4 linked regions of the Elephas maximus indicus genome follow. The protein of the gene in region 1 purifies or fractionates together with the protein of each later gene. This does not show direct contact. Links are inferred from orthologs where the notes say so. Each region holds a gene or a part of one and is shown in the gene's direction. Other genes may lie near its edges. The genes, in order: EIF4G1, EIF3F, NCBP1 and EIF4A2.

What was found.
Region 2: the proteins of EIF4G1 (region 1) and EIF3F purify together in Homo sapiens (affinity purification with mass spectrometry; 3 studies listed by BioGRID, with this or other methods). This does not show direct contact. The link is inferred for Elephas maximus indicus from reciprocal best matches to the Homo sapiens genes EIF4G1 and EIF3F.
Region 3: the proteins of EIF4G1 (region 1) and NCBP1 purify together in Homo sapiens (affinity purification with western blotting; 3 studies listed by BioGRID and IntAct, with this or other methods). This does not show direct contact. The link is inferred for Elephas maximus indicus from reciprocal best matches to the Homo sapiens genes EIF4G1 and NCBP1.
Region 4: the proteins of EIF4G1 (region 1) and EIF4A2 purify together in Homo sapiens (affinity purification with mass spectrometry; 6 studies listed by BioGRID and IntAct, with this or other methods). This does not show direct contact. The link is inferred for Elephas maximus indicus from reciprocal best matches to the Homo sapiens genes EIF4G1 and EIF4A2.

Annotation. Positions count from the first base shown.
Region 1 is NC_064819.1:30,774,619-30,781,926, reverse strand, and holds the start of EIF4G1 (eukaryotic translation initiation factor 4 gamma 1), read left to right. Parts: upstream 1-4,297; 5' UTR 4,298-4,428; intron 4,429-4,714; exon of another isoform or gene 4,715-5,298; intron 5,299-5,522; 5' UTR 5,523-5,556; coding exon 5,557-5,616; intron 5,617-5,918; coding exon 5,919-6,005; intron 6,006-7,062; coding exon 7,063-7,239; intron 7,240-7,308.
Region 2 is NC_064825.1:63,220,210-63,228,015, forward strand, and holds the start of EIF3F (eukaryotic translation initiation factor 3 subunit F), read left to right. Parts: upstream 1-4,798; 5' UTR 4,799-4,816; coding exon 4,817-5,219; intron 5,220-7,806. UniProt on the Homo sapiens protein: Component of the eukaryotic translation initiation factor 3 (eIF-3) complex, which is required for several steps in the initiation of protein synthesis.
Region 3 is NC_064827.1:47,538,669-47,545,589, forward strand, and holds the start of NCBP1 (nuclear cap-binding protein subunit 1), read left to right. Parts: upstream 1-3,908; 5' UTR 3,909-4,276; coding exon 4,277-4,310; intron 4,311-6,921. UniProt on the Homo sapiens protein: Component of the cap-binding complex (CBC), which binds cotranscriptionally to the 5'-cap of pre-mRNAs and is involved in various processes such as pre-mRNA splicing, translation regulation, nonsense-mediated mRNA decay, RNA-mediated gene silencing (RNAi) by microRNAs (miRNAs) and mRNA export.
Region 4 is NC_064819.1:28,258,292-28,265,922, reverse strand, and holds the start of EIF4A2 (eukaryotic initiation factor 4A-II), read left to right. Parts: upstream 1-4,629; 5' UTR 4,630-4,707; coding exon 4,708-4,736; intron 4,737-5,623; coding exon 5,624-5,669; intron 5,670-5,752; coding exon 5,753-5,885; intron 5,886-5,996; exon of another isoform or gene 5,997-6,065; intron 6,066-6,166; coding exon 6,167-6,306; intron 6,307-7,068; coding exon 7,069-7,237; intron 7,238-7,532; coding exon 7,533-7,631. UniProt on the Homo sapiens protein: ATP-dependent RNA helicase which is a subunit of the eIF4F complex involved in cap recognition and is required for mRNA binding to ribosome.

The DNA of each region.
Region 1 (7,308 bases):
GCCATATGTGTATGAATGGGAAGACAGTTAAGGTGTGAAGAAGAGAAGATGAAACTGGAATGTTTTAAAAAGTGTCACATGTTTATCTGCATGTACTCTGGATATTGAATGTTTCTCCTACTTGGTGTTGTAAAGCAGACCTAAATGTATGATGGAAGTGAACATTGGGAATTATACCTCCAGAGAGGCTCAGAGCAAGGGAATAATCTTCTGTTGATTAAATTTTTCCCATCGCCGTCAAGTCGATTCCAACTTGCATTTGAAGTATGGTGTTGGTGAAGAATATTGAATATACCATGGGCTGCCAAAAGAACAAATAAATTTGTCTTGGAAGAAATAACAGCCAAAATGCTCCTTAGAAGCAAGGATGGCAAGACTTAGTCTCACATACTTTGAATATGTTTTTAGGAAGGATCAGTCCCTGGAGAAGGACATCATGCTTGGATAAAGTAGAGAGTCAGAGAAAAAGAGGAAGACCCTCAATGAGATGGATTGACACAGTGGCTGCAAAAATGGGCTCAAGCATAGCAACAATTGTGAGGATGGCGCAGGACTGGGCAGTGTTTCCTTCTGTTGTACAGAACGGACTCGACGGCACCTAACAACAACATCAACAGTTAAATTTTATCAGAGGCTAGAAAAGATGAAGCCAAGATGGCTTTTGGAGACCTGACCAGATCAGATGGATACCTGCAGCAGACCTGAATGACTGGTACCTGAGTAACCTCACCCAGAGGCCTCTTTGCCCTACGGAAGTACTAATTGTTGATGACTGTTTTGGACTGACAAAATAATTGGAAGGGGGAGGTTACTCTCCAAGTATGAAAACTATGGCTAGAAAAGTCAGAAGGTGGCCTGCAGTGCAACTGATCACTTTTACACGGCCTTTCTCACCATAGAAACCCTGGTGGTGCAGTAGTTAAGAGCTACAGCTGGTAACCAAAATGTTGGCAGTTTGAATGCACCAGGCACTCCTTGGAAACCCTATGGGGCAGTTCTACTTTGTCCTCTAGGGTTGCTATGAGTCAGAATTGATTCTTCGGCAATGAGTTTGGTTTTGATTTCTCACCATGGTCTTGTAACTCCCACCAAATGACTGGGTGGGACTGTGCAAATAAGGTGCTTGTGGCCCACCAAGAGACCTGGACATCTTGCTAATAGTACAAATAAGTATATGGCACCCTTGTGGGGATGGGACCATGCAAATACAGTATATAGGAACCCAACAAGGGGATTGGTCAGTTTTGCCATCCTGCTAGCCTTAAAATGAGCAATCCCAGAGCACAGAGGGGGACCTGACTACCATCAAAAAGAAGAGAGGGGAGTGGAACACATCCTTTGGACCTGGGATCTCTGCGCTGAGACCCTCCTAGACCCAGAGACAGCGAAAGAGAACCGTAACACTGGAGATGGCAAGATGGTGAGAAGCAGTGGCAGAGAAATGGTGGCAGCAGAGGCAGCAGAACCAGGAAAGCTGACAGGGGACTACTTGGTGACCTACCTGGCCCATAGAGCAAGAAAGCTAAGTGCCTTCCAGCAAGAGGCTTGGTGGGGTGGGTTGCCTCTGGGCATTTATTGGTGGAGCTAAAGAGCTTTGTAACACTTGCTTGAGCGGGGCAGGGTCTAGGCTAAGGGGCCAAGGGCCAGAAAGAGGCCTGCCTGTGGGCATAGCTGAGAAGAGGTTGTCCTGATCCAAAGAAGTATATCCTGAATTACTGTTTCCTGAACTACCTGTTACTTCCCTAACAAACGCCATTACTTTGAGTATGGTCTGTGAGTTCTGTGTGGCCATTGCAATGAATTATCCAACCCAGCAGAGAAGTAGGGAGTGCTATGGGAGGGACGTTTGTCATCAGAATTGGTAAAAAGGTTGGACGGTGGAGGTGTGTTTGACCTCTGCCTCATAGGAATCAGCCTTGGGCTATTTTTGATTCTCCTTCCCCCTTGTGAAGTCAGACGCCTCTGCCATGCCATTTTTACAGATAATTTTCTTCCAAATTGGTTACTGTGTTTTAGAGTAAGAAATTTTCATAGTGGTTCTTAACCTTTCATATTCAACTGTTTGTTCAGCAACAAATATCAACAGAACCTTATTCTGCATTGAACCTTATTCTAGTTTGGAGAATGCAAAGATAGAAAAAAAGATCCAATCTTTAAAAAGCTTACACAATGGAAAAGAAGACGGATAATTACATGAAAACAATTGTGATATATTGTGATCAATACCGTACTGGGGGCGAACAAGATACCCTGGGATCATTGGGATAGGGCCTAAGTGCTTGGATGAGTGTGGTGAAATTTCTTGGAGGAAGCTGAGACTTGAAAAAAGAAGAGTCTGTCCAAGGGGAAAGAGGGTAGGAAAATATAGGTAAGCAATTAGCAAAAGCAGGAAGGAGGAAAAGCTGTATGTGTTCAGAAACCATGGATAGCTTGGTTTGGCTAAGTCTACAGGGACCAGGGAAGAGTATGGTAGCAGATACAGCTGGAGACACAGGTGTAGACCAGGTTTAGAAGAGCTTTGTCATGCCAAGAAATTGACAGTATCTCAACAGGGACCATTGTATGTCAGCAGGAAAGTGACATGATCAGCTATGTGGGTAAGAAAGCTCACCCTGGAAGCCCAGAGACTAGACAAGGGAAATGGACACCTGAATTAGGACAGTAGAAGTGGGGAGGTGGGTAGGGGTAAAAGGAAGTTTTGTTCAAAAAAGATAAAATCAATAAGACTTAGTGTTTGATTAAACGTAGTGTGTCGATGGGAAGGAGTGTAGGATGAAGCCCAGATTTTCAGGTTGGGCATTAAATTATGGCACTATTCATTGGAAAGCCGTATATGAGCATATTTGTTTGGGGTTGAGATGGGGGAGTCTGTTCACGAATTCAGGGAGAAGTGACAAATTCCTATCTGAACACACGCAATTTGAGATGCCAGTGGGACAATTAGGCAAGGACATCTTTTAGGTAGTACCTCGTTGTCACTGGAGTTTGAGCGTGGTTTCTGAGTTAGGAAGTCACTCTCATGAAGGCAGTAATTATTTGTCAGTGCATGGATGAGTCTCCTTAGGGACAAAGTAGAGAAATGAGAGAGCAGAGTCCTACATGACAACAATCACAGAGCGCAAATGAGCGTCGCGGAGAACACCAGATCCGTGTGTTTATTCTCCTCCAGGTGTCTCTTTTGGTCTTCGGAGCTGCTGCCCTACTTCTCTTAAAAGCAATGACTATTGGGTATCTTTGTGCCTAAGTATGCCCACCCTACAGCTGTACTTTCTTGATGGGGGTGATAATGGGGGCTGTTTTATGACACCCTCACCTAGCTACATCAAGTCCTGCAATATATATCAGGCTCTGCTTCCGAAAGGTCACAGTCTTGAAAACCCCGTGGAGTACAGTTCTACTCTGCACACATGAGGTTGCCATGAGTTGGTATTGATTCGATGGCAACTTTTGTTTTTATTTTGAGGTAACATATGTGCCGTGTAGATAGACCCTTTGCTAAATGTCTAGGCATTGTTTCAAACACTTTCACATGTACTAACTAATCCTCAAAATCCAATAGTGTAGATGTCATCATTGAGAGAAAGCATGGTGGTTAAAAGCTCAGACTTGATCCACACCACCTGGTTTCAAACCTCCCCATTTTACATCTTGCCCAGAGTCCTCAGGTAGTAAGCAGGTAGGTAGGTGACAGCCACGTGGTAAGTAGTGAAATCAGGATTAAAAACCAGTAAGTGAGTTGCACTCTAGGGCACTCCCGTCTGGCTTCCAAGATCTTTCTGGTGCCAGGCAGGGGTTTTGGGATTGACTCTCTGGTCATTATTCTCAGCAGTGGGTTTTTTTTGGGTTCCTTGATTAACTTTTGCCCCTCCCAGGAAGGGGTTGATCTTTGTATAAAACAAATCTACTCTTGCTAGTCTCCTAGTTAGAATGTTTCAGTCCTTTCAGGGTAACATTCAATCTCCTTTGTTAACGAGCCTTTCAAGCATCTAATCTACATTACCTCCAAAGACTGTATAATTCGCATTTCTTTGCATATTGCACCATGATTTACTTAGCTAGGACTCCTTAATTTCCATATTCTCCGCACTTCGCCTTGCAGTTAGTAGGCACCCAGTAAAGTCTCAATGGAGTAAAGGACCACCAAACAGAGACGCACAAGGCAGCTCGTCTGGAGTTCCACAGTCCGGGAGGGGACATGGGGGCGGGCTGTGGCTGTCACGTGACGGGGCGGGACAGAGCCATGTGCTCCGCGGCGCCCTGCGGCCGGGGCGAGGCTCCTCCCCCTGCGCCGGTCACGTGGGGCGCCGGCTGCGCCTGCGGAGAAGCGGTGGCCACCGAGCGGGATCTGTGCGGGGAGCCGGAAATGGTTGTGGACTACGTCTGTGCGGCTGCGTGGGGCTCGGCCGCGCGGACTGAAGGAGACTGAAGGTAAAGCCGCCATGTCCGGGCCCGACCCGGCCCCCCCACCCCCTCCCCCCGCATCCGCCGCCATCCGGGCCGGGACCGGCCGCCCTGCGCCGCCGCCCCGCCGCCCCGGCCCCGCGGCCCCAGCCCGGGCCCCGGCCCTCCAAGGCGCGATCCCCGGCCCACGTGTGCCCGGCGCGGCCCGGCCTGGCTGCTGGGCGGGGGCGAGGGGGCGCGGGGCCGGAATGTGCGCCCCCGCGGGCTGGGAGGGCGCCGGGCTCGCTGGCCGGGACGTGCCACCGCGGCCGGCCCGGGGAGGCCCCTCGGCCCGCCGGCACCGCGGCTTCTCGGCCCGGCGCCCCCTCCCCCTTCGCCGCCGGGCCGCCGGGAAGTGACACGTTGTTCTTTGGCACTGGCCGGCGCTGCGCAGGGAGGGCGCAGGCAGGGCGGCGGCGGCGGGCAGGGAGGAGCCCCCGGCCGCGCCCGCCCTCCGGGCCGACCCTCGCTTGCCTGAAACCGGCTCTTCCTCGGCCGCCGCTCGCCAGGCCTTTTAGGGCCCGGCGCCCGCCCTTCCTGGCCTCGGCTCCTGGGCGGCGGCGGGCGTCGCCTCCGGCCTGCGCGGTGCCCCCGCGGCCGCTCGCGGCAGGCGTGCCTTGTGTGTCCCCGGGCCGGGCCCCGAACCCGGTGTCCCCGGGTGGGGGGTGGGGACGCCACGGCCGAAGCGGCTAGCTCCGTTTGTGAGCCGGGAGCCTGGTGCCAGCGAGACCTGGAATTTCCGGTCTGGTTGGTCTGGGGCCCCGCGGAGCCGGGTTGATACCCCTCACCTCCCAACCCCAGGCCCTCGGATGCCCAGAACCTGTAGGCCGCACCGTGGACTTATTCTTAACCGAGGGGGTGAGTGAGAGCGCCGTTTCTGCAGGTCAGGGGGGTGGATGGCGGTGATGCGGGCTTGACAGCATGTTAGTGGGTACACACAGCCTGGGTCGTTAATGCTTCTTCACTCCCTTGGTGCCTCTGCGGCTCCGATTTGGACCCATCCCTTGCTTAACCCTTCCCCCACTCCACTTGCCTTAAACTTGGGTCTCTTCCTCTTTCCAAGCTCCACTCTTTCCCAACAGGTGTTGGGGGGACCCTGATGTGGCACCAAATGAAATGAACAAAGCGCCACAGCCCACAGGCCCCCCGCCCGCCCCATCCCCTGGACTCCCACAGGTAATTAGGGAGGGAGGCTGAGGAATTAGCAAGGACCAGAAGGGTGTAGGGAAGGCCAGGCAGCCGGTCAGGAACAGGTTCCAACCTCTGGATTTTCCCACCCCCATCTGCGTCAGGGCAAAGTGCAACGGCCTGTTGCCAAATTGAGACAGGGCCCCTGGGCTGTTCCCAGGGGCTGTCCTGGGGAGGGGGATGTGGACTGCTGAGGCCTTGCCACAGACTTACCCCTCTTACTTCACCAGCTTGGGTTTCTGCCCCACCCGGGTTTCCCCACTTGCTGAACTCTGGTCTCCCCCCTTCAGCCAGCGTTTCCCCCGGGGCAGACAGCGCCGGTGGTGTTCAGTACGCCACAAGTGACACAAATGAACACGCCTTCTCAGCCCCGCCAGGTGAGGGGCCGTGGGGAGGGGAGCAGGGGGCCTGGGTGGGGAGCTGTGGCAGTCTCGGGCCAGTTCGGGTCTCAGATGGAGACTACGGAGGCCATGTACCTGGTTCTCAGCTCCTGACACTTGCTCTGTGTTCTTCCGTGCAGCCCTGCACTTTGCGCTGTTGATTCCTTAGGTGGCTGGCCCCTTGGGGAGCGTGCAGCCGGTGGGGGTGGCGTTCCCGGGGACCTGGTGCTGCTGAGGACTGGAGGCAGTGCTTTGGGCCCTGGTGCCAACTCCTGTTTTCCTGTTTCTTTACCGGGAGGTGGACATTCCTCTTCCCTGCTTTCTCCTTGGAGCGGCCAGAGAATCACTCCAGGTGGTTCTTGCCCTCCTCTGTTCCCCAAGTTCTTCTTCGCTAAGTGGGAAGATTTTTGCTTTACTTCTTCCACATTTTCTGTTCTCATCACCTTGGGGATAATTCTCTTCTTTCCTGTCCCCATGTGCTCTCAGGGAGGATTCAGGTCTCTGCAGGTAATTCTTCTTTCCTAATCCTGGACCTCCTCCTGGCCTCACCCCACCGTACACCCAGTTAGGGGTTAGATCCAGGGACTGGGGCTCTTCATGGTGGGGACTTGGTTGTCGTCCAGGCTGTCACTGTAAGGCTGACCCATAATGCATGTCAGTGGCTAAGTTTTGCAGCGTGCGTGCATATCTGTCTGGTGATTGGGAGACTTGCATGTTAGGGGTTACCTCCTCAAGCACCTTAGGGTGGAGCGGTGCATGCTGGGGAGTGTTTGCCTGAAAGGGCCTTCCTTCAGCGTGTGGCATCTGGGTGTTAGGAAGCTTCTGCAGAGCACTAGTCTGGTGGAGGTTACGTGAGTGTGCATGGCAGTGAGAGGGTAAACACGTACAGAGTGCAAAGCCTGTATCTGAACACAGAGGACATGTGTGAGTACAGGGGGCCAAGTGGGTCTTGGAGAGTTGGATCGCTGTACTCTGGCGCCCCCAGGGCTCCTCTCCAGCCTGCAGTCCACTTCCTCCCCTTCCCTATGCCAACGGCCTTCCTCCCTCCTGACAGCACTTCTACACTAGCCGGGCCCAGCCCCCGAGCAGTGCCGCCTCCCGAGTGCCCAGCGCAGCCCCTGCCCGCCCTGGCCCAGCTGCCCATGTCTACCCTGCTGGATCCCAAGTCATGATGATCCCCTCCCAGATCTCCTACCCAGCTTCCCAGGGGGCCTACTACATCCCTGGACAGGTGAGGCTGGAGGCTTGGGAGCTGGAAGCCATAGGGCCTTGTCCTCCCAGTCCTCGCCCCCGCCCCTAC
Region 2 (7,806 bases), on another chromosome or scaffold:
GAGGATGCCCTCCACCAGAACAAAAGAAGGAGGAAGACTCAAGATCCATGAAATAGGAATCCAAACAAGGAAAAAACAGTCCTAGAAGGCAGCTCGTCTAGAGAGCTGAGAGCTCTGAAGTCTCTGACAGGGAATGGATTTCTCCAGAAAGAATATCTCCAAGGGGGAAAAAAAGAAAAGGATTCATAGATCAACTATTATGATTGACCCGAAAAATTGTACTAGAGCTATTGGAAGACTGTGGGAAAAACTGGCAATAAGTGCCAATGAAGTGGGAAAATATTGCTTGAACATCCAGATGGTAGAAAAGTTAATGTTTACGGGAACTGATGAAACCCCTGTGAGCTATAGCACGCCTTGCGATTCTTTTCTGATTGTTCTCTCTCAGCACTGTATAGGCTTAAGATTAACCTGCGTGTTCTCTCTCAACATGAAAAACAAGTGATAGGATCTGGGAACCGAGGAGTCAGAAGACAGTGATGTTAGAAGACCAAACTTCAATGACTCCAGAAGGGACCCTAAGAATACCTGGAAAAGATCATCACGTCTGGAAGGTGATTTGCAAGACCACCTCAAAGGGGAATTAAAAATTCTCCAGATTCCTTGGACTTAGCTTTTCTTTCCCTATAAAACCGCCCAGCTGTCTCTTTCGAGACAGACAGAATTTAGGAGTAAACTATCCCCTCTGTTTCTTGGATACCGGTATTCAGTAAAGCCCTCTTGCTGTTGACCTCCCTCCTGTCTCAGTATTGGCTTTGCAGCAGGCCGCTCGAATCTGTGATTTATGGTAACACCAACAAAACTAGACAAATGGAACTAAAATAAGGAATTACTAACTCTGAGAAAAGCAAAACGAAAGGAAACATAATAGTAAATGACAATACTCAGGTGTGAATAATGTTTACATAGGAATAATGATGTAACCACTGAGTATCAATCTAACTAAAATGGTAACATAACCATATTGAAAGGATGGTGATGGAAGAGTTAAATGCTTGTGGGCTGGAATAGGCAGTCCCTAGATAACACCTAAAACTGGTTAATCAAAAGGTAGCAGTATACATACACTGTTTAGAAATGGAAAGATGTAAGAAAAGAAATCTAAAGTAGATTTCTGAGAAGTCACCCTCAGGGAAGAGGGACTAGTGGGTAGTGGGAAAGGTTGGAGCAGGGAATTACTCTCTGTGTCACCTTTATTGGATCTCTTTCCACAGCATTCAAATATATTCTACTCCCTCCCATGTTCAAACAAAGGAAACCTTCTCTTGACCCTGCATTTCTCATGTCACCTCATTCCCTCTCTACTGCCATGCTTTGGCAAGATTTGTCTATACGTGTTACCTCTACTTCCTTAGCCGCATTCTTTCTTTGTTGAACTTTTATTTTATCAAACATGCTTAGAGTTTTAAAAGTCAATTAGCATTAAAAAGCATGGGGAAGCTAAGCATGACCACCATTTCTAAGTCAAAATCTTCCAAAAAGCCTGAAATGACCTCACTGCCACCCCAATCCCGTCAGAAAAAAAATCAAGCAAACTTTCTCAGGAGGAAAGCTTCCCCAAATTAGGCCCCAACAGCTATTGTCGAAAGAGCCCTGGTGGCGAAGTGGTTAAGCATTTGGCTGCTAACCTAAAGGTAGGGAGTTTGAACCCACCAACTGCTCCGCAGGAGAAAGATGTAGTAGCCTGCCTCTGTGAAGGTTATAGTCTTGGAAACCCTTTGGGGCAGTTCTGCACTGTAGAACTGACTATAAGGTCACTATAAGTCAGAATCGACTGGACGGCAATAGGTTTGTTTGTTTTTCTCGCTTGCTACAGACTTGAGATAGCCTGGGGCTCTCCCTTGTTGTCCTCCCTTAATCTGAGCTGTAGCTCCAGCTCCTTTCACTTCAGTTAGTGATCTAGAGGATGGGATAAGTTTATCAAGCTACAGGCCGCAGTCTTATCATGAGGCAGGCAGTATGACCCTGGTCTTTTCAGGCAGAACCATTAAGCGTGTACCCAAGCAACCAGAAACCTAGAGCAATCCCTGTACAACACATTCTATATAAAAGGGGGATAGTCCATTGTTCTCTCTCCCCACTCCTTCCACCCTTTACCTGAAAAATTTGAGGCTCCCAAGCTTTCAGTTCACAGGGAGCAGCCTTCCTGGATCCCTCACTCAGCCATTGGAAAGCCAGTAGCCTGTGTCTACACACTCCCTGATCCTTGCCAATTGTCTCCTGTGGAAAGACAATGCCAATGATCTCCTCCTGCCCCTGGGCTACATGGCTGCTGGAAAGAAATCACGAAAGTCGGCCAGCTGGTCCTTGTACAACTTGAGCTCTCCAGGCTCAGCAGCCCTCCCATAATCGTCAATGCCTTGTATGGCTTTTAATGGCTCACCCTCAGCCCGTCTTCCAAACACTGCCCATTCCTCCAAGCCTAAACCCTGCTCTGGCATTGCCATTCTCAATAGATCACCTTGCTTCCACTTCCCTGGGAGGGGGGGGATGGCATTTGAGAGGAGCCCCCCACTACTTCTCTGCTCTCCCCAGCTCAAAATTTATCTGATTCTTCATCATCTCCTTCCCCCTCCAGAGAGAAAGGTCCTATGGTCATTGATATAAAGGCAAAAGTGAGTTCTTGAAGGTGAAGTATCCACATCCAAGTCAAATGAACTCGTTGACAGGCGGTCCCACGGGTGTGAGTGCTCAGTTTGGGGCAGTAACACCTCATTTGGGCTGGTTGTCTCCTCTGGCCTTGACCCATGAGATGATGTCAGGGAACCAGCCCTGGCCTAGGTAGATCCCCTCCCCCCCCACCCCCCCACCCCCCCACCCCCCGCCACTAGGCACCATAAGAGAGGCCAACAGGCCAGGGCAGCCTCTCCTGCATGCCCCTCATCCTTTGTAAAGCCATCCCACTCATCAAGGCTTCTCAATCCAGGCCCTCCTTCCTCCCTTATTTCATTAGATATTGCCGCTGACTCTTATATATTCAATCTTTCTCTTTCTTTCAGATCTTTACCTGCAATTTAAAGTACACTTAAAACTCTTCTGGCCTCAATTGTCCCCTCTCAACCCTGCTGTTCCTTAAATGTCTCTTTTTCTTCCCAGGCAACTTCCTTGAAAAGATAGCCAGCACACACACCCTTCACCTCAAACTCACCATTCTTTCACACCTGAATTCTGGTTTATATGTCCCCCTCCCACCCAATTCCACTGACCAGTTTTCTACTGGGGTTGCTAAAGACATCAGGTTATCAAAAACAAAAGCCACTTTTCAGTCCACCTCTGGTGGGCTATTAACCTGTGTTTTGGGGAATTCAGAGAAGGAATGTGTGTTGACACAGAGCATGACAGAAGCAGGTATAACAATTCTAATTACGGATGGTAACCTCAAGGGGAAAGCGAGTCTTGGGCATAAAAGTCAGAGGTAGGAAATCCAACCTCATCCACCCACCTTGCCAGCTGGATTAGCTGGGACTTAACCTAACTTAGGAGTTTACAGGTTTCGGTATAGACAGATGTTCCAAACCAAACCGGTTAACATCGAGTCGATTCCGACTCACAGCGACCCTACAGGACCAAGCAGAACTGCCCCATAGGATTTCCAAGAATGGGCTGGTGGATTCAAGCTGCTGACTTTTTGGTTAGCAGCCGAGCTATCATCCCCATTATACCAGAAAGGAACTGAGGCTCTGAAAAAAAAAAAAAATTGAAGCTTGTCCAAAGTCACACAGAAAGCTAGGACCAGGGTTCCTCCCCATAGTTATAGTAATGATAATAAAACCCCAAACCAAATCTGTAGCCATCGAGTCAACTCTGACTCATAGTGACCCTACAGGACAAAGTAGACATGCCTGTCATGGATTGAATTATGACCCCCCAAAAATGTGTGTATCAACTTGGTTAGGCCATGATTCCCAGTATTGTGTGGTTGTCCTCCACTTTGTGATTGTAATTTTATGTTGAGAGGATTAGGGTGGGATTGTAATACCAGCCTTAATCAGGTCACCTCCCTGATCCAAGGTAAAGGGAGTTTCCCTGGGGTGTGGCCCCTTTTATCTCTCAAGAGATAAAAAGAAAGGGAAGCAAGCAGAGAGCTGGGGACCTCATATTACCAAGAAAGCAGCAACAGGAGCAGGGCACATCCTTTGGACATGGGGTCCCTGTGCCTGAGAAGCTCCTTGACCAGGAGAAGATTGATGACAAGAAATCTTCCTCTGGAGCCGACAGAGTGAGAAAGCTGACCCCTAAGGGCACCTAACAACAACTGCATTAGTTATTTATCTTCCTTTTTGAGTTTTTTTTTCCATGCTAGAATGTAAGCTATTCAAGGATCTTTGTCCACTGATAAATCCAAAGCCCCTAAAAGAGCGTTTGAAACATAGTAGGCACTCAAATTGTTGAAAGAATGAACCACCCTATTGACACTTTATGATCTGGTCAAGAACAAAGCCCTATTAATGGAACTTTGACATCCATTTTCCCATTTAAGAATGAAAACACGAACTGCGACCTTGCGCTGCTCTCTGGCTCCACCTGGCGGCACATGGGCAAACTGAGTGGAGTTATTTTTAATCTCCCAGCGCGGTCTTAAATTTACCCGGAACTATTTACCGTGGTTCTTATGACGTGCTCATCGGACCGAAAGCAGTCACACAAACTCCGGAAGAAATTACAAACAGAGCAGGAAATTTTCGTGCCCCGAGAAGCACCATCAGTAACCAATAGGTGGAAAGATACAGTTCACGTGGTGCATATTTAGCCTATCAAAGTCGTAAAATTCACTAAGTCACTCCTTTCCGCTCTTGGCTTCTTCTCTTTCGACAAGATGGCCACACCGCCTTCACCAACGAGTGCTCCTCCCGCCACTCCATCCCCAGCACCGGCTACGGAGTCGGCTCCAGCCCCAGCCCCAGCCCCAAGTCCAGCCGCTGCTCCGGCTCCGGCTCCGGCTCCCGCTTCCGCACCGGTCCCGGCTCCTGCTTCTGCCCCCGCCTCATCCTCAGACCCGGCGTCAGCAGCGGCTACAACCTCGGCCTCGGCGCAGAGCTCGGCCTCAGTGCAAGCCCCAGCGCAGACCTCGGCGCCGCCGCCGCCGCCTGGTCCAGCTCTCCCAGGGCCCTTCCCCGGCGGCCGCGTGGTCCGGCTACACCCGGTCATTTTAGCCTCCATCGTGGACAGCTATGAGCGACGCAATGAGGGCGCTGCCCGAGTAATCGGGACCCTGCTGGGTGAGTGGTGAGATAATACCGACGTTCTTTTTTCCTACCGCCCACCTCCCATGTATCGCTCCCCCTTCTCATAACCCTTTCGTCTCTGGCGTCCTGCTGCCCCCTCCTCCCACCCCCACTTTTTGCTTGTTTCTGCATCTCACATATAATAGATAGTTATTATTTACTGATAAATATTGGGTACCAAGTGATTTACATTTTATTTCCAACACCATTTCACGTCAAGTATGATAACCTCCATTCTACCAAAAGTGAGCTTATATGCTCATATGCCGACTGGCAAGTGATTAAGTTGGAACTAGGACTCTTGATTCCCTAAGCACAGTGACCAAGTTTCCCTCCTTTACCACTGACTGGAGCCCTGGTGACGCAGTGGTTAAACGTTCGTTAAACCAAAAGATCAGCAGTTCGAATCCACCAGCCGCTCCTTGGAAACCCAGTGGGCAATTCTCTGTTCTGTAGGGTCGTTATAAATCGGAACCGACTTAATAACAACGGCTTTTTTTTTTTTTAATCCACTGTCTAAATGTCTCTATTTTCCAAATTTTTACAAAGAAGTTTCTAACCAGCTGGCCAAGGAGTGGAGGCATCTATAAAAAGATACTCTTCCTAACAAGTAAACCAGTTTGGCTGGAGCCTGTTGAAGGTTTTATAGTATTCTGTCTTCCTAAACCCTGAGTCTGCCTCAACACCATCTCTGATATGATAAACCGTTTTCCCAATGCTGTCTCTGATTCTCTATTTGGATAAAAACCATTGTATTAATCTGTTTATGATTGACTCTGACCTTCAAATCAAAGAATAGTCTTTTCCCTGCCCGTGTTCCAAGTTTGGAGAATAGATGTTTTATGTTAAAGTCATTTTAAAACTTAAAATCACTGAAGATGTATTGTTAATAATAAATGTCTTTCTTTGGGGACTACTGGTCCCACGAGATTGATTTTCACTCCATTTTATCGCAGGCTTTAGACATCTTTGCGGACCCACTCCAGTCCCGTGCATCATTTCTCTTTCTTACTCTTGAAAATGTAGTAGTCCTTACACCTTAGAAGACAATACATTGTCTTCTAAGGTGTGAGGACAAGATTTGTATGCAGACACCACCAAATGTTAGCCATGTGCCTTGAGGCAAATTACCCAAAGTTAGTTCTTTTGAGGGCTACTTTAGACTTAGTGTTTGTGAGAACTAAGTTATTACAGAAAGCATCTAACTCAGTTCTGGTATACATTAGATGCAAAACAGCTTTACCAAATCAGGCCTGAACTCATTGCCAGCGAGTCCATTCCAACTCATAGCAACCCTGTAGAATAGTAGAACTGCCCCATAGAGTTTCCAAGGCTGTGGAAGCAGACTGCCACATTTTTCTCCCGTAGGGTGGGTGGTGGGTTCAAACCACCCACTGCACCACCAAAGCACACACACACAAGTTCTCCTTTTTATCTTTGTGGGTGTAGCACTTGGTATTTACAGAAACTAAACAATTGGCTTCCAAACATAGCTATGGCTTTTCTCAAACCAAGCCTTTACGTTTATATTCTCCTTGTCAGAAATGCCATCCCTGCTGTGCCTCAGTTGTTTTTTAAAGTTGTACCCATCTGCCAGGTTCCCAGGGCAAATGTCCAGTACCAGTCCTCCACCTCATACCACATCCTCAGCCCATTCTTAACCTCTCTAACCATGAGCACATTCTTTGACTGTGCCCTGCTTTGAGGTCCTGTAACAAATGATTTTTGCATCACTGATTTGGTAGTCAACAAACACTGACTTACTCCTTCAGCTACACTGTCAAGGTTTCTGAACTTTGTGGAACTATTTAACCAAAGTTTATGCTTAAAAAAAAAAATTGCCGTCAAGTTGATTCTGACTCATAGCAACCCTATAGGGCAGAGTAGAACTGCCCCACAGAGTTTCTAAGGCTGAAATCTTTGTGGAAGCAGACTGCCACATGTTTCTTCCATGGAGTAGCTGGTGGATTCGAACCTTTTGGTTAGCAGCCAAGTGCTTTCACTGTTGCATCACCAGGGCTTCCTGGTTTATGCTTAGTGCCCCAAATATCACAGCAATCCTCTGGAAGGTCCCCTTCCAGATGGAGATCGCGGTATAGCACAAAGTGTTATAGGGGCAGTGCTTATACAAGGACAAAGCATAGATCCTGCCTGTAAGAAACTTGGAATTTTCCCAGGTACACGTTCATTCAAGAAACATATTTCATTTGTTTAAGTGAAGTTACGAGTGCCTTTTGAGTACTGGAAACTGTTAGATACTTAGAATTCAAAGTTTGAGAAAATGAGCTGTACTCTAACCTTAAACTTAAGATGGACAAATAGTCTTATATACAAATAATAAGAATGTAACGTGATGAGTGATCTGATAGAAGGGTGTTCGAAGTGCTGTGGAAGTACAGGAGACTATCTTGGAAGGTTGGGAAAGGATTTACAGAAAAGATGGATTTTGAGCTGGGCATTCCAGCAAATATAAGAAGTGTGAAACACTAGAGTGTTAAGAGCCATCACACAAATAGCTTTATGCACACCTGTGTTTATTGCAGTATTATTTGCAATAGATGGAATAATGTTCCCAAAAAGA
Region 3 (6,921 bases), on another chromosome or scaffold:
CTGAAACAGTCACCCTACCTTTCTAGGCTCATCTCAGGCAACACTCCCCCTCACATACTCTGCTCGGCCACACTGGACCTTTGCCTAGTTCCACAAGCAACCCTTGCTTTCTCCTGGTTCAGGATCTTCACACACGCCTTTCCTACCACCCCAAAATGATCTCTTTCAGTTACCACCTAATTTAGTTTCATTTATTTATACACTTTAACTATTATTTGTGGACATTCTCCTGCGTGTCTAGCTATGTGCTGGAGATGAAGTTCTGAATGAAAAAGTCAAAGTCTCTACTCACTTGGACTTTATAGTTTAGAAAGGGGCAAAGGACAATAAATAAGTATACAAATAACCATAAGACCTCCAAGACTATGGCCCTAAGACACCCCTCTGACTTGGAACTGCAGCCATTCCTGGAAACCACCTTCCAGCGAAGGAATAGACAGGCCTAAAAAATAAACAATAACACCCAAAAAGAATACACTCCATAGAATAAACAATTATACAAGACCAACAGGGCAACATATGCCCCAAAAGTAAAGATGAAAGGGCAGGAAGGGGTAGGAAAACCAGATGAAAGGAAACGGGGAACCCAGGGCGGAAATGGGGAGAGCGTTGACACTGCGAGGATTGCAACCAATGTGTGGAACACTGTGTATGCGATTTGTTGAATGGGAAAATACTTTTCTCTGTAAACTTTCACCTAAAACAATAAAACATTTTAAAAAATAAACAAACGTGAATACCAGATAGTGGTAAGTGCCACTCCTTCTCAGTTTCCTTTGCTGGATCCTCCTAGTCATCCCAACCTTTAACTGTTAAACTTGCATATCTGTGCCCACTCCCCAGGTGATCTCACCTAGTCCCAAAGTCTTAACAACTACATTTGCTTCAAAATAATGGTGGAGGTTGGGGGGAAGAGCACATTAACATAGGTGAAACCAGACTGGCCTTGAGTTGATAACTGCTGAAGTTGGATGATGAGTACATGAGGGTTCATTATATAATTTTCTCTACTTCTGTAAATACATCCACTAAGAAAGAAAAATAAGAGAAACAACCAAAAATTTATGTTTAGTATACCACACATCGGAGCCCTAGTGGCGTACTGATGAAGAGCTTGGCTACTAACCAAAAGTTCTGCAGTTTGAAATCCACCAGTCGCTCCAAGGAAACCCTATTGGGCAGTTCTACTCTGTCCCATAAGGTCTCTATGAGTCAGAACTAACTTGATGGCAAGAGTTGTATCTGTTTGTTTTTTGGCTTACATATTGAATGACCCCAAATTTCTATCTCTAGCCTGTACCTCTCTCTTGAATTCCAAATTCACAGATTCAACCGTCTACTGGATAGCTTTAGCTAGATGTCTAACACGTTTTTCAAATGGAACTGTTCAAAACTGAACTCTTTATGTACTCCTCCCAACCCAAACCTGCTCTTCCCAGTCTTCCTCACCTCAGTGAAAGACAATCCTATTCTTCCTGTTACTCAGGCAAAAAACCTTTGGGATGATCCTTGAGTCTTAATTCTCTCACACTATCATCCTATTCAGAAATCATTCTGTTCAGAAAATCCTATCAGCGTTGCTTTTGAAATATAAACAGATCAGACCATTTCTCATCACCTTCATTACCACCCTAGTTCAAGTCACCATCATTTCTTGCCTGAATTATTCCAACAGCCTAATGCCCTCCTACTGTAGCAGCCAGTGTGATACCTATAAAAAATAAGTAAGATCACCCTCCAAGGCTTCTCGGTTTTTGCAGATAAAGTCCAAAGACTTTGCCATACTTCTCCCTCCCACAACCTCTCTGATCTTATTTTCTACTACTCTCCCCTTGCTTCCTATTCAGACTTCACTGGTCTTTTTGCCCATGCCTAAATGGGTCATGGGAACCCTGGTGGTGTAGTGGTTAAGTGCTATGGCTGCTTACCAAAAGGTCAGTGGTTCAAATCCACCAGGTGCTCCTTGGAAACCCTGTGGGGCAGTTCTACTCTGTCCTATAGGGTCGCTATGAGTTGGAATCGACTCGATGGCAAGGGGTATGGTACTGTACGGTAAATGGGTCATTAGAATTTTAGCTCCAAGAGAGCTGAGGTTTTCCTTTGTTCACCACTATATTCTCAGCATCTAGAACAGTCCCTGGTACATAAACCAAACCAAATAGATGTCATCGAGTTGACTCCAACACATGGCAACCCTATGAGTGTCAGAGTAGAACTATGCTCCATACGGTTTTAAATAGCTGATTTTTCAGAATGAGATCACCAGGCCTTTCTTCCAAGGCACATCTGGGTGGACTCAAACCTCCAATCTTTCAGTTAGTAGCCAAGCTCATTTACTGTTTGTACCACCCTGTGGCCATGTCTGGCACACACCCCCCCCCAAAAAAATACAGTGCCCTCGAGTGGATTCTGACTCATAGTGACCCTATAGGACAGAGTAGAACTGCCCCATAGAGTTTCCAAGGAGCACCTGGCAGATTGAACTGCCGACCCTTTGGTTAGCAGCCGTAGCACTTAACCACTACGCCACCAGGGTTTCCGTCTGCCACACAGTAAGTGCTAAATACAGTATTTGTTGAATGACTGAATGAATGAAATAAAACAGCAACGCATGATCTCGTGGCAGGGACAGCTAACTTATATTAGGTAGCCAGGGAAGATCTTACTAAGAGCCTGATGTTTGAGCTCAGACCTAAATAACAAGAAGTTAGCCACACAAAGATTTAGGAGCAGAGACCTTCTGGCAAAAGAAAAAGTTGAGTGTAAATTTCTAAAGTGGGGCCAAGCTTGACTTATTGAAGGAACGGGAATAAAGCCAGGGTGGTTGCCGCACAGTGATGAGAAGGTAGAAGAGTGTACGCCATGGTTTGCAATTCGCAGTGGAAAGTCACTGGAGAGTTTTATACAAGGAAATAGCATGGTCTGATTTACATTTTAAGAATATCTTTCCGGCTGTTCTGGGGGGAAAGGACTGCAGGCAAGGAAAGACCCACGGAGGCCAGTCGGGTTAGACATTCATCAGGGCAAGAGATGACGCTTGCAGCAAATGAAGAAAAAATGGCAGCAGTGGAGAAATGTGGACCAATTCTGGATTTGTTCTGGAAGTAGAGCCAGCAGGAGATACGGGTAGATTGTTATGCAGAAGTGAAGGAAAGAGAATTCTAGAATGACTCCAGCCTACATTTTTGGATTAAGTAAATGGATGGTGCCATTTTCTGAAATGGGTAAGCCTGAAGGAGGAATAGGTTAGGCCAGGAGGATGAAACAAGACTTCTATTTTCGATTGTGAAATTTCAGATGGCCATGGACGAGGCAGTCAGAGAAACCAGTGTGGTGCTCGGAGAGACGTCAGGGATGGAGATGTTCATATACACATACACAGTCGCCAATAGCTAGTGAAAACGATACTGAGAACGATCAACTTGTTCGTCCTTAAACCAGCCACTCGTCGAGGTGAGAGGTAAGATGACAGCCAGAGGGTGAGCCCCGGAACCGGAGGCTCGCGTCAGGGCCGCTCCTCCCATCGTAGGGGGCGACACGTGCGGCTCCGCTCCCATCCCGGCCCCACCCCGCACGGTGGGCCTGGCCTAATCTGTCCGCCCAGCGTTCCCGAGGCACAAGACGGGAAGTGGGGGTAAAATGAGCACGTACCCGCCAGTCGGATCTATTCTTGGGTCTTTCTTCACTGAACTGTGTCCGCCTAGCAATGGTCACTCACTGCACTTGGAACCTACAACCCCGGTTGTGTGTTTACGTAGGGACGAACGCTCGGACGTCACCTCGCTCCGGAAGTCTTGGTGGCCGTTAGCGAAAGGGCCGCCGGGAAAACCATTGAGAGGACCCGGGGGCGGGGCTGAAGCTGAGGCTGAGACTAGAGAGTCTGTCCCAGCCGCCCGCCGCCTACATGCCTGGCTCGCGGCCGGCGGGCTCTGACTGGCTGAAGCGGAGGCGGTTTGTGCGTGGCCCCGGAAGGACATAGAGCGACTGGCGGGAGGAGGAAGCGGCCGGGAGGCGGAGGAAGGCTGAGGGGGGTGGTTGCGTGCAGACCACACGTCGGCTCCTGGTTTGCCTCTAGACGCCGTCTCTCCCGGATCCGAGCCCGCCGAACCCTCTCGGCCGACCCTCCTTGGGTTTTCGGGAGCTGGAGCGAGCGACTGCGCCTGCGCGCCGGTGGGTCCGCGCTCCTCGCCGCTGTCCTCGCGCCGGCCGGCTGCTGGACGGTTCCTGCCGTGCCTCCTGCCCGGCGTCTCGGTTCTGAAGTGCACCGGCGTGCGGCATGTCGCGGCGGCGGCACAGCGACGAAAACGATGGTGAGTGCCTAGAGCCTGGCCGCCAGGGCGCGCTCCGGTGGGAGCCGAGGTTTGCCTTCCTTGGCTTTCGAGTCTCGAGGGAAGGAACGGCAAGCCCTTCTCTCCCGGGAGCGTTCGCGGAGCCACGGAGGATGGCGGGGCGGGGGTGTGGCTGGGCGGATTCGGGAAAGCTTCGTGCCAGCCGCAGCGCCTTTGGTCGTCGACCGATGGTGGGGAATGAGGCTTGGTGAACCCCTGGTCTATAGGGACTCTTCAGAATTTGGCCCTCGACATCATGTCTGTGCTGCCGTCTCAGAGAGCGGTACCCACTGGTACCAGGCGCTCGTTTTGATCCTCAAAGCTTTATCTGAAAATAGCTTTTTCAAGACTTTACTGAAGAAAAGGAACAAAGCAGTGACTGAGAGATCGGGTGAATTGCAGTCTGAGCTCTACTCCTCTACTGTACATCCGTTGATTTGCCTTCTTTCGAGCTGGAGAGAAGAGATTTTGTGTCTTCACCCAAGAGGTTACTCACTAATAAGCAGATGTATAGTATTGCATTAGATTTTAAGCTGACTATAAACATATTTCCATGGCATGCCGGAGAACTAGCAGGAGAGCTCTTAGAGATTTAGAGTTGGGGTTCCCGTCTTCGTTTGGGTGGTTATACTTATGGGGGTCACGTTGTGGCCGTTGTAAAAACTTAAGAATTTTACTAGTAAAAAAAAACAGCAAAAGTTGCTTACATTCACATAAGCATTATGAAAATCAGTCAAGAACACACATCCACAGACAGAAAGACATGAAAGATTAAGTCTGTTATTGATATTTGAGTGCATTATTTGCTGAAGAGGGTGTAGAGTAATGGTTGAGAGGCCAGGCTTTGGAATTGGGGGTATAGGTTACAAGCTAGACCCCACGATTTACTTTGGGGTTTTGCCCAAGTTATATAACCTTTTTTCACTCTTAATCTGTAAAATATGAACAACGCTGCTTACCTGTTCTGGTTTTTCTGAGGGTTAAATGAGATAATTCATGAAACAAATGGCTCGTAATGATTTTTTTTTTTTCTTTTTACTTTATCTGTTAAGGCTTAAGTGGTGATAAGCAGTGGCAGATGCCCACAACGTAAGGAAAAAATAAAGAACAAAAATTTTTAATTCAGTACATTTTCTTCTTGAATATTGGGGCAGTTAGAGGTGAGGACAGAATCACAAATCTGAAAATACCAGATTGCTACTAAGGTATGGCTTGAGAGGATTTTCTGGCCCAGCCTCCTCAGACACCCAAGGGTACAGAGACTTAGTGTAATTAACATGGAGACACAGCAAGAAGTGCCCAGACACCAGCTAAAGCAAGTTCAGGGCTCTCTCTACTACACAGGTGTTATTGTACTGCATGCTTTGATTTTAACACATGGAGTCTTCTTGTGTAACATGCATAAACTAATCTCAACAACTCAGTGCCGTCGAGTCTATTACGACTCATAGCAACCCTATAGGACAGAATAGAACTGCCCCATAGAGTTTCCAAGGAACATACATACAGGACACAAAAACTACAATTTTTGTGTACTTAGAATTTGACTAATCCAAAAGTATTATGTTTGAAGTCATCGCTTAGGGTTTAGAGAACATGAGTCTTTTGTTCTTCCCATTTTCTTTGTTCTTACGTGTTTCTCTACCATTCCTCTCCCTCTCCCTTCTAAGGCACCCCTAAAAGGGAGGGAAAATGAGTGTATAATTCAGTGACATTGTTTTTAACATTGGCTGGCACTAAATGACTGTACGTTTGGACCTTGCTGCAAGAACCTCAAAGTAAGTAAGTACAGACAAAAAGAAGGAAAACAAGGAATTAAGCAAAATTCACTATGGCAGATGATTTAGTAATGGAGGGACAATTTATAGTTCCTCCTTATAGTACATCAAATTGGGAACTTTGTAAATTGCTACAGTATGGGTAATGATTATTAGAGTTTACCTTAGACAGTGACCTGAATCAAATATTTTGAATGCTTTTTTAATTAAGCTTCTACTAATACTTTTAAATGACAAATATTAAAAGCTTCAATATTATAGAAGGATATTTTGGTGGCGTAGTGGTTAAGTGGTATGGCTGCTAACCAAAAGGTCAGCAGTTTGAATCCATCAGGTGCTCCTTAGGAACTCTATGGAGCAGTTCTACTCTGTCCTATAAGGTCGCTATGAGTCGGAATTGACTTGATGCAACGGGATTTTAAAAATAAACTAGGGATTGCTAAAGTCAGAATTAGATGGATATAGCTGAGCATTTCTGGATTATTATCAGCTCTCATCACCCACTGATAGCCCTGATTTTCCGTGTGTCCGGCTGGGTATAATCATTTATTCAATAAATATTTAACAGTACTGGGCACTGTTCTAAATACTGGCAGTACCTCAGTAGATAACATAATGGTAGAGCCTCCATTCTTGTATAGGGCTACAGACAGAAACGATTAGGTAAAATATCATGGAGCATATGGTGATGAATGCTTTGAAGAAAAGTAGAATTGAGTATAGGGGATAGAGACTGTGCTGTGGGGGAGAAATTACTACATTGAAACCCTCAGGAGCCTGAACTCAAAGAGACTGCCTTGTTTTCTAGGTCTCGC
Region 4 (7,631 bases), about 2.5 Mb from region 1:
CCCAGCTTATGTGTATCAATATACCCATAAGGCTAAAACTCTAAGCTAATTTACTTTTTGAACCTTGTAATGCGCTCTAAAGCCCTGGTGGTACAGTTAAGAGCTTGGCTGTTAACCAAAAGTTTGGTAGTTCAAATCCATCAGCAGCTCCTTGGAAACACTACAGGGGAGTTCTACTGTGTTCTGTAAGGTTGCTATTAGTCGGAATTGACTCAATGGCAATGGGTTTGTTTTGTTTTGTTGGGTAATGCGCTCCAGTTGAGCTGTCATTATTATGCAATTACAATGACACTTCAGATCACGTGGTTTCGTCAAGCCCTACAAAGTTCGTCAAGCGCTATAAACACACGCTGCTGTTTTTGTTGCTGCCGGTGGTTGTTTTTTTGTTTGTTTCGTTTTTCTCTCTTTTTTTAAAATTGTGCTTTAAGTGCAAATTTACAATTCAAGTCAGTTTCTCATACAAAAACTTATGCACACATTGTTATGTGACCCTAGTGCTCTCCCTACAATGTACAGCACACTCCTCCTCTTCACCCTGGATTTCTGGTGTCCATTTAACCAGCTCCTGTCCCCCTCTGCCTTCTCATCTCAGCTAGGGACAGGAGCTGCCCACATAGTCTCATTTGTCTACTTGAGCTAAGAAGCATGCTCCTCGCCAGAATCATTTTATCTAGTCTTCATCTGAAGAGTTGGCTTTGGGAATAGTTTTAGTTTGGGGCTAACAGAGAGTCCGGGGGCCATGTTCTCTGGGGTCCCTCCAGTCTCAGTCAGACCATTAAGTCTGGTCTTTTTACTAGAATTTGAGCTCTGCATCCCACTTTTCTCTTGCTCCATCAAGGATTCTCTGTTGTGTTCCCTGTCAGGCCAGTCATTGGTGGTAGTCAGGCACCACCTAATTCTTCTGGTCTCAGGCTGCTGGAGCCTCTCATTTATGTGGCCCTTTCTGTCTCTTGGGTTCTTATTTTCCTTGTGTCTTTGGTGTTCTTCGTTCTCCTTTGCTCCAGGTGTGTTGGGACCAATTGATGCAGCTTAGATGGCCGCTTGTTAGCTTTTAAGACTCCAGATGCCACTCACTTGCTGCCGGTGTTTTTATAGTCACTGAATTTGTCAAATTTTCTGGTGTTTTAGCTGCAATATTGCAGTAATTAGGGGCCCTGTGGCTTAGTGGTTAAAGAGCTTGGCTACTAACCAAACGGTCAGCAGTTCAAATCCACCAGTGGCTCCTTAGAAACCCTATGGGGGAGTTCTACCCTGTCCCGTAAGGTTGCTGTGAGTTGGAGTCAACTCTATGGCACTGGATTTGTTTTTGGTTTATAGTGGTAATTAGTATTTGTGAACCTATGTCAATAACTTTTTTGAGAATGAAGTAGTAATGAAAGGAGAAAAAGGAGAGAAATACAGGAATTAAGATTTACAAGTGACTTTGGTAAAAAGACATTACTAAGGCTTCTGTATGGTCTAGTACAGGAGGAGGTCCCTGGGGGAGGGGGTGACACCATGAGTCACCACACTGGGTGACACCAACCCTAGCGATGCTAAGACATGACTAGAACCATACAGCCATTTTTCTTAACCTCAAGACAGCCCCTCACCCAGCCCATTTCCTAGAGTTCTTTCTTTTCCTCCTCGAACTTCTTTAAAGAGACAGCCACCAGTTAGCCAGAATCGGCTAAAACAGGTCCTGCCCTCCATCCTGGCATTCCAGATGATACTCAGTCAGCTCATTAACTGCTTTATGCACGGTGGGTGGAGAGCTGACATACTAATGAACAAAAATGACTCAGTTCCTCCTGTGCGGGGAATTGAACCCGGGCCTTAGAAAATGTTTACTCATTCTAAAGCGTTCTGTACCTGCATGGGTGCGTGCCGTTTTGTATTTTGAAACTGATCCTGCCTGTATAAACCAACCTCAACAAGCTGCCTGGGACGCAGCAGCCCCGTCTTATTCTTGACTCTCCTTCTTACCTCTTTTAAGATTTTGTTATTGTTTTTTCCTGTATTAGCAACACATCTGTACTAATTCCTTGGCCCTCTGGTGAATATTGGCTTATAATTGCTGAATGGACCAAAGGCATACAAATGCTAGATGGGGTTAGAATTGTCTATGGAGGCTACTGAAGAGCAAAACTAAACCAGGTGGCTCACATTGGGAAAGAATCTTTGGTTTTTAGCATCATTTGTTCTATAAATGATCTCACACACTCTAGGTTGGCACAGAAGCATTTGTAGTTGGCTTTGAGGTAAGTGCAAAAGTTCAACTTTCAGGGAGGATAAAATGCAGATGTGGTAAGCACAACATTTTTAGAAATATATTATAGGGTTGCAGGCAATGTGAGCCTGGTATTGACTCTATCATGAAGCTTTCTTGCCTTGAAACTCCTTCAGCACTTGTCACCTGAACCCTAGGGTTTGCCATACCATACCAGCTTCCATGGAGTTGACTCCAACTCATGGTGACCCTATGTGTGTCAGACTAGAACTGCGCTCCACAGGGTTTTCAATGGCTGATTTTTCAGAAGCAGATTGCTAGGCCTGTCTTCTGAGGCACTTTTGGATAGACTCGAGCCTCTGACCTTTGGTTAACAGCCGAAGCATTTGTACCACCCAGGGACTCCACCCTAGGTTTGTTGTTAGTTGCCATCAAGTCGATTCCAAGTCATGGAGACCCCAACTGTGCAGATTAGAACTCCATAGGATTTTCAAGGCTGTGACCTATCAGAAGTAGGTCGCCAGGTCTGTATTCAAGGAGCTTCAAACCTTTCAGCTACTTGTCAAGTGCTTAACCATTAGCACCACATTTAGCCCTTGATTCCTACCTTTTAAGAGACCTTTGGAAATCCCCCAAAGCATCTAGCAATAGTGCTAAATCTAATGAAAACACTCAACAATTAAGTATAAATTGCTGATTGATTTTGCCCTAAGATTCAAGTGAGCGCTGGCCACTGTTTTTTTTTTTTAAACATTTTCTTCAGTTTCTTAGATCCCAATTTTTTTTTCAGTAGACTTTGGATGAGACAATAAGAATCTCTGACCACCATGTTCAGAAACGTCTGGCATCACCTCACATCTGGATTTGAACATTGCAGGGGGGCGGATGAGGAGCAGTGTTACTAAACTGAGGGCCAGGTCAACTTTGTCATCTTGGTATTTTAACTTTTGTCACAGTTTCTGCCACAATAAGAACGAACAAATTTACCCCCATTAGGCTGTTGCCATCAACTTGATCCCCACTCAAAGCGACTCCATAGGACAGAGTAAAAGAGCTCCATAAGGTTTCCAAGAAGCACTTGGTGGATTCGAACTGCTCACCTTTTGGTAAGCGGCTGAAATCTTAACCACTAGTGTTTCCAAATTATCAAATAGTTCTCTTAAAAAAAAAAAAAAAAGTACTACTATAGTCAAACTTCTTCTATAATGTAGGAAATCGGTAAGATTTTTTCCAGTAGTCAGACTTCAGGCTGCTCTCCTGACTTTAGAAAATGTCTTCCTGGGTATTAGTGATGATACCCTGCAGTGTGGGTAGAAGAACTGTACCTTAAAGTTAAATGACTATATTGTTTTTTTAATTTTTATCACTGGGGCTGGGTTGGGGCTACCGTGGAAAATCTTTGGTGCTTAAAGAATCCTGCGGGTTGCTTAAGCAGCAAAGGTTGTATTGCTCTCAATTTCAATAAATCAACGTTTATTATATCCAGGCAATTAAAATTTAAGACTTTTGGAAAAAAACGACCAATATAAACGGGAACCAAAACCTATCCAGTTCCAAAGCGGTCTGGAGCTGTACACGCCGGAAGCGTCCATCTATTTAGGTTCCTGTGTTATAAGGAAAAATTCTCTTCCTTAACTTTTATCCATTTGCAAAAGTTTATAATGCTAATTGCAACTATGAAGTAAACCTGTTAGGTTAGGTTAAAATTATTAGCATTAATTTTAAGAGAGCAAGAGGAAACCAGAAGCAACCTGAGAACAGACTTGGCTATTCCAGGGACGCTTTCCAAGGACACTATACATTTTTTCCCCCTCGTCCTGTAAAATGTACCGATGAAACGGGTTTTCTGGGACGTGCTGGGTGGCCGACTTTTTCCCTAGCAGGACCTTCACAAGTTCATGACCTGAACGGACGTTATAACGTTTGGGCTAAGGACAAGGCGGCTCTTTAGCGTCAAGTTCAATGGCGGTGCGGACAGGCGGAAACGCCCGACTCCCCTAGGTGCAGCATGCGGACGTCGCGCACTCTGCATCCGAGGGCGGGCAGCGGTCGGAGAGTCGGGCCCCACAGGCTTCGGGAGGCCGGGCCGCCCGGGGAGCAACGCGCTTCCGCCTCCCGTCCGCCCGCTCGCTCCCAGGGCCCGCCTCTGCGTCAGGGACGCGGAAACCCCGTAGGAGCAGGGCGGGCGGAGAAGGCGGTTCTCGGCGGCCTCTTGCTGCAATATTCTTCCGCCGCAAAGCAAAGAGTCCCAGCCGGTCCCCGGGCTCCGGGGACTTCCGGCGCTCCTGAAATATCGAGGAATTATCACATTTAGATTTTCCCATCAACTTGCACCGGGTTTTATGTGAGGGAACGACCTCAGGGTTAAAACTGGGGGGGCCGAGCGAAGAGCAAGCGGAAATTCCTCCGCAGGAAACGGGTTCCGGCTGCGAGCATATAAAAAACGGGTGGCGCGGGCCCGCTGTCTTTTCAGTCGGGCGCTGAGTGGGTTTTTGGACATGTCTGGTGGCTCCGCGGACTACAACAGGTATGGCGCTTTCTCGGTGGTAGTATTTTGTGGTGAAGGTCGTGTGGCGCCAGAGATGGTGGTAGTAGGTGGCACGGAGGCAAGACACTCCGGATTCATTGGCGTTTCCTTGTGGGGTACAGCAGCACCCTCGTGCCGTTCGAGAAACTTCCATGGTGGGTAGTGCCCCAGATTGCGGGGAGACCGGGCAGGGGTATTAAGAGGACTGGTTAAAGGGCGTCTTTTCTCGAGGAGCTGGCGGTCGCCGCCGGTCCCAGGCGGAGCACGGCAGGCATTTAGCGGTGGCGCAGTGTGCGTTCGGTACGGGGTGGCGGGGTCCCGGAGGTTTACGCGCGGATAGAGGCCCAGGGGTGGGGTGGGGTGGGGGAGGGTGGTCGCGGTCCGGGCCGGCGGGACCGAGCGGACGGGGGTCCCGGCGAGCCGTTGGCAGAGCCTGGCGGGGCCGCGTCAATCGGCCGGCTTGCGCAGTGCGGGGGGCGGAGCTCCGGAGCTCTCGCGAGAAGCGGCGCCGCCGAGACGGGAGCGGCGGGCGCTGGGCCTGGGAACGGGGCCGCCGTTCCCGGCGCCCGGCCCTCAGCCCGCGGGGAAGGGGCACAGGACGATGTGTGCTCGCACGCGGGTCTTCATTGGCTCTGGGCGGAAACGCACACGTGCCAAACCCTAACCCGTTGCCGTCGGGTTTGTTCCGAGTCATAGCGATCCTCTAGGACAGTAGAACTGCCCCATAGGGTTTCCAGGGAGCGCCTGGTGGTTTCAAACTACCGACCTTTTGGTTAGCAGCCGAGCGCTTAGCTACCGCGCTGCCTGGGCTCTATTTTATCCGAAAGGGTTAGAAGAAGGTGGCTTGGTAAAGGGATGGTGTCTAACTGCACAATTCTCGTCGGCAGAGAACATGGCGGCCCTGAGGGAATGGACCCCGATGGTGTCATTGAGGTAAGAAATGTGTGTGGGTTTTGAAACTCTGGGCAGATGAGACTGGTGCTCCTATTTACTGTTTTTTTTTTTTTTTAAAACAGAGCAACTGGAATGAAATTGTGGATAACTTTGATGATATGAATTTAAAGGAGTCTCTTCTGCGGGGTATCTATGCTTATGGTTTTGAGAAGCCTTCAGCTATTCAGCAGAGAGCTATTATTCCTTGTATTAAAGGTAAAAGAAAACCCGTTGGCCTTAGAAAACGAATTCATTGTGCTGCAGGCCTGGACCGTGAAAGGGAAATAAAATAACCTCTGGGGGACTAGCACCTATTTGTATTCCTTAAAGTGAAATGATGGCAATCATCTTTCGGGACTGACCTGAAATGAAGAGAATACTCATTGCTGATCACTTAATTATTTGGGCATAATTCGTGTTCCAAAAGGAATACATGGTGTGAACTAGAAGTGACGGTTTGATGTGGGATCGGTAAATATGTATCCTACTTTTTTTAGGGTATGATGTGATTGCTCAAGCTCAGTCAGGTACTGGCAAGACAGCCACATTTGCTATTTCCATCCTGCAACAGTTGGAGATTGAGTTCAAGGAGACCCAAGCACTAGTATTGGCCCCCACCAGAGAACTGGCTCAACAGGTATTGATAGTGTAGTTCAAAAACTGCTTGCGTGTTGCATAGGTTTCAGGTTTCACAACTGAAGGATTTAACTTAGTGTAAATTGGTCCTATCAGAGCCTTCCTTTTAACTGACCATGCATGCAGGGAGTTTTATAGGTAGTTAAACAGGAACTGGGTATGCAGATGATTGTTTCTCAACGTACTGAGAAACCAGAAATTTCTTCAGAGTTCACTAGATAAATGCCCGTTTTTAAGTTTGAATGCAGTTGTGCAACATGAAAACTGCAGTGTCATGTTAACATTCGACTGTCTTGGTAGATTGTGATGCATCTCTTGTATGCTGTTTTCAAAGCTCAATTGTATTGGCCTTGAGGTAAATCTTCCTAAATAAAAATAAGCTTTATTAAGGTCAAGATCACAAGCCACAGTATACACCACGGGAAATTTAAAAACCGTTAACAGTTTTCCTTAGTTGTGTTAACAGCTTGTTTCATTGTTTACACTTTCCTACACATTGAAGAATAGGGAATATCTTTGGTACACTTAGCTGATACTTGAAGGGAGACAGAACCCCAAGTTTGACAAGGTACAAACGTGAGACATTTTAAGGAAATTTTATCTTGAAGCAGTTCGTAAAGTCTGCATTTTAAGCTTGGGAAGTAGTTAATGTGCTGTGCATGCGTAAAAGCTGTTTGCAGACCACATATTTGGCCTTGTTTTGGAAGTTTTTCGATAGAGCCTGTAATTCAGTAGGATAATAATTGAGGCTTCTGGTTTTTAGATCCAAAAGGTAATTCTGGCACTTGGAGACTATATGGGAGCAACTTGTCATGCCTGCATTGGTGGAACTAATGTTCGGAATGAAATGCAAAAACTGCAGGCTGAAGCACCACATATTGTTGTTGGTACTCCAGGGAGAGTATTTGATATGTTAAACAGGCGGTATCTTTGTAAGTATTGACCTTTTCTTAGAGCATAATTGGAGTTTGCTATTGATAAATTGGAAACCCTGGTGGCGGAGTGGTTAAGTGCTGCGGCTGCTAACCCAAGGGTCGCAGTTCGAATCCACCAGGTGCTGCTTGGAAACTCTATAGGGCAGTTTTACCCTGTCCTATAGGGTTGCTATGCGTCGGAATCAACTCGACGGCACTGGGTTTGGTTTTTGGTTTATTGATAAATTGAATAGGGAAGTCAAATTGTATCCAGGAGAATCCAGAAATGATAGTATAACATTGTTTTTGACAGCTCCAAAATGGATCAAAATGTTTGTTTTGGATGAAGCGGATGAAATGTTGAGCCGAGGGTTTAAGGATCAAATCTATGAGATTTTTCAAAAATTAAATA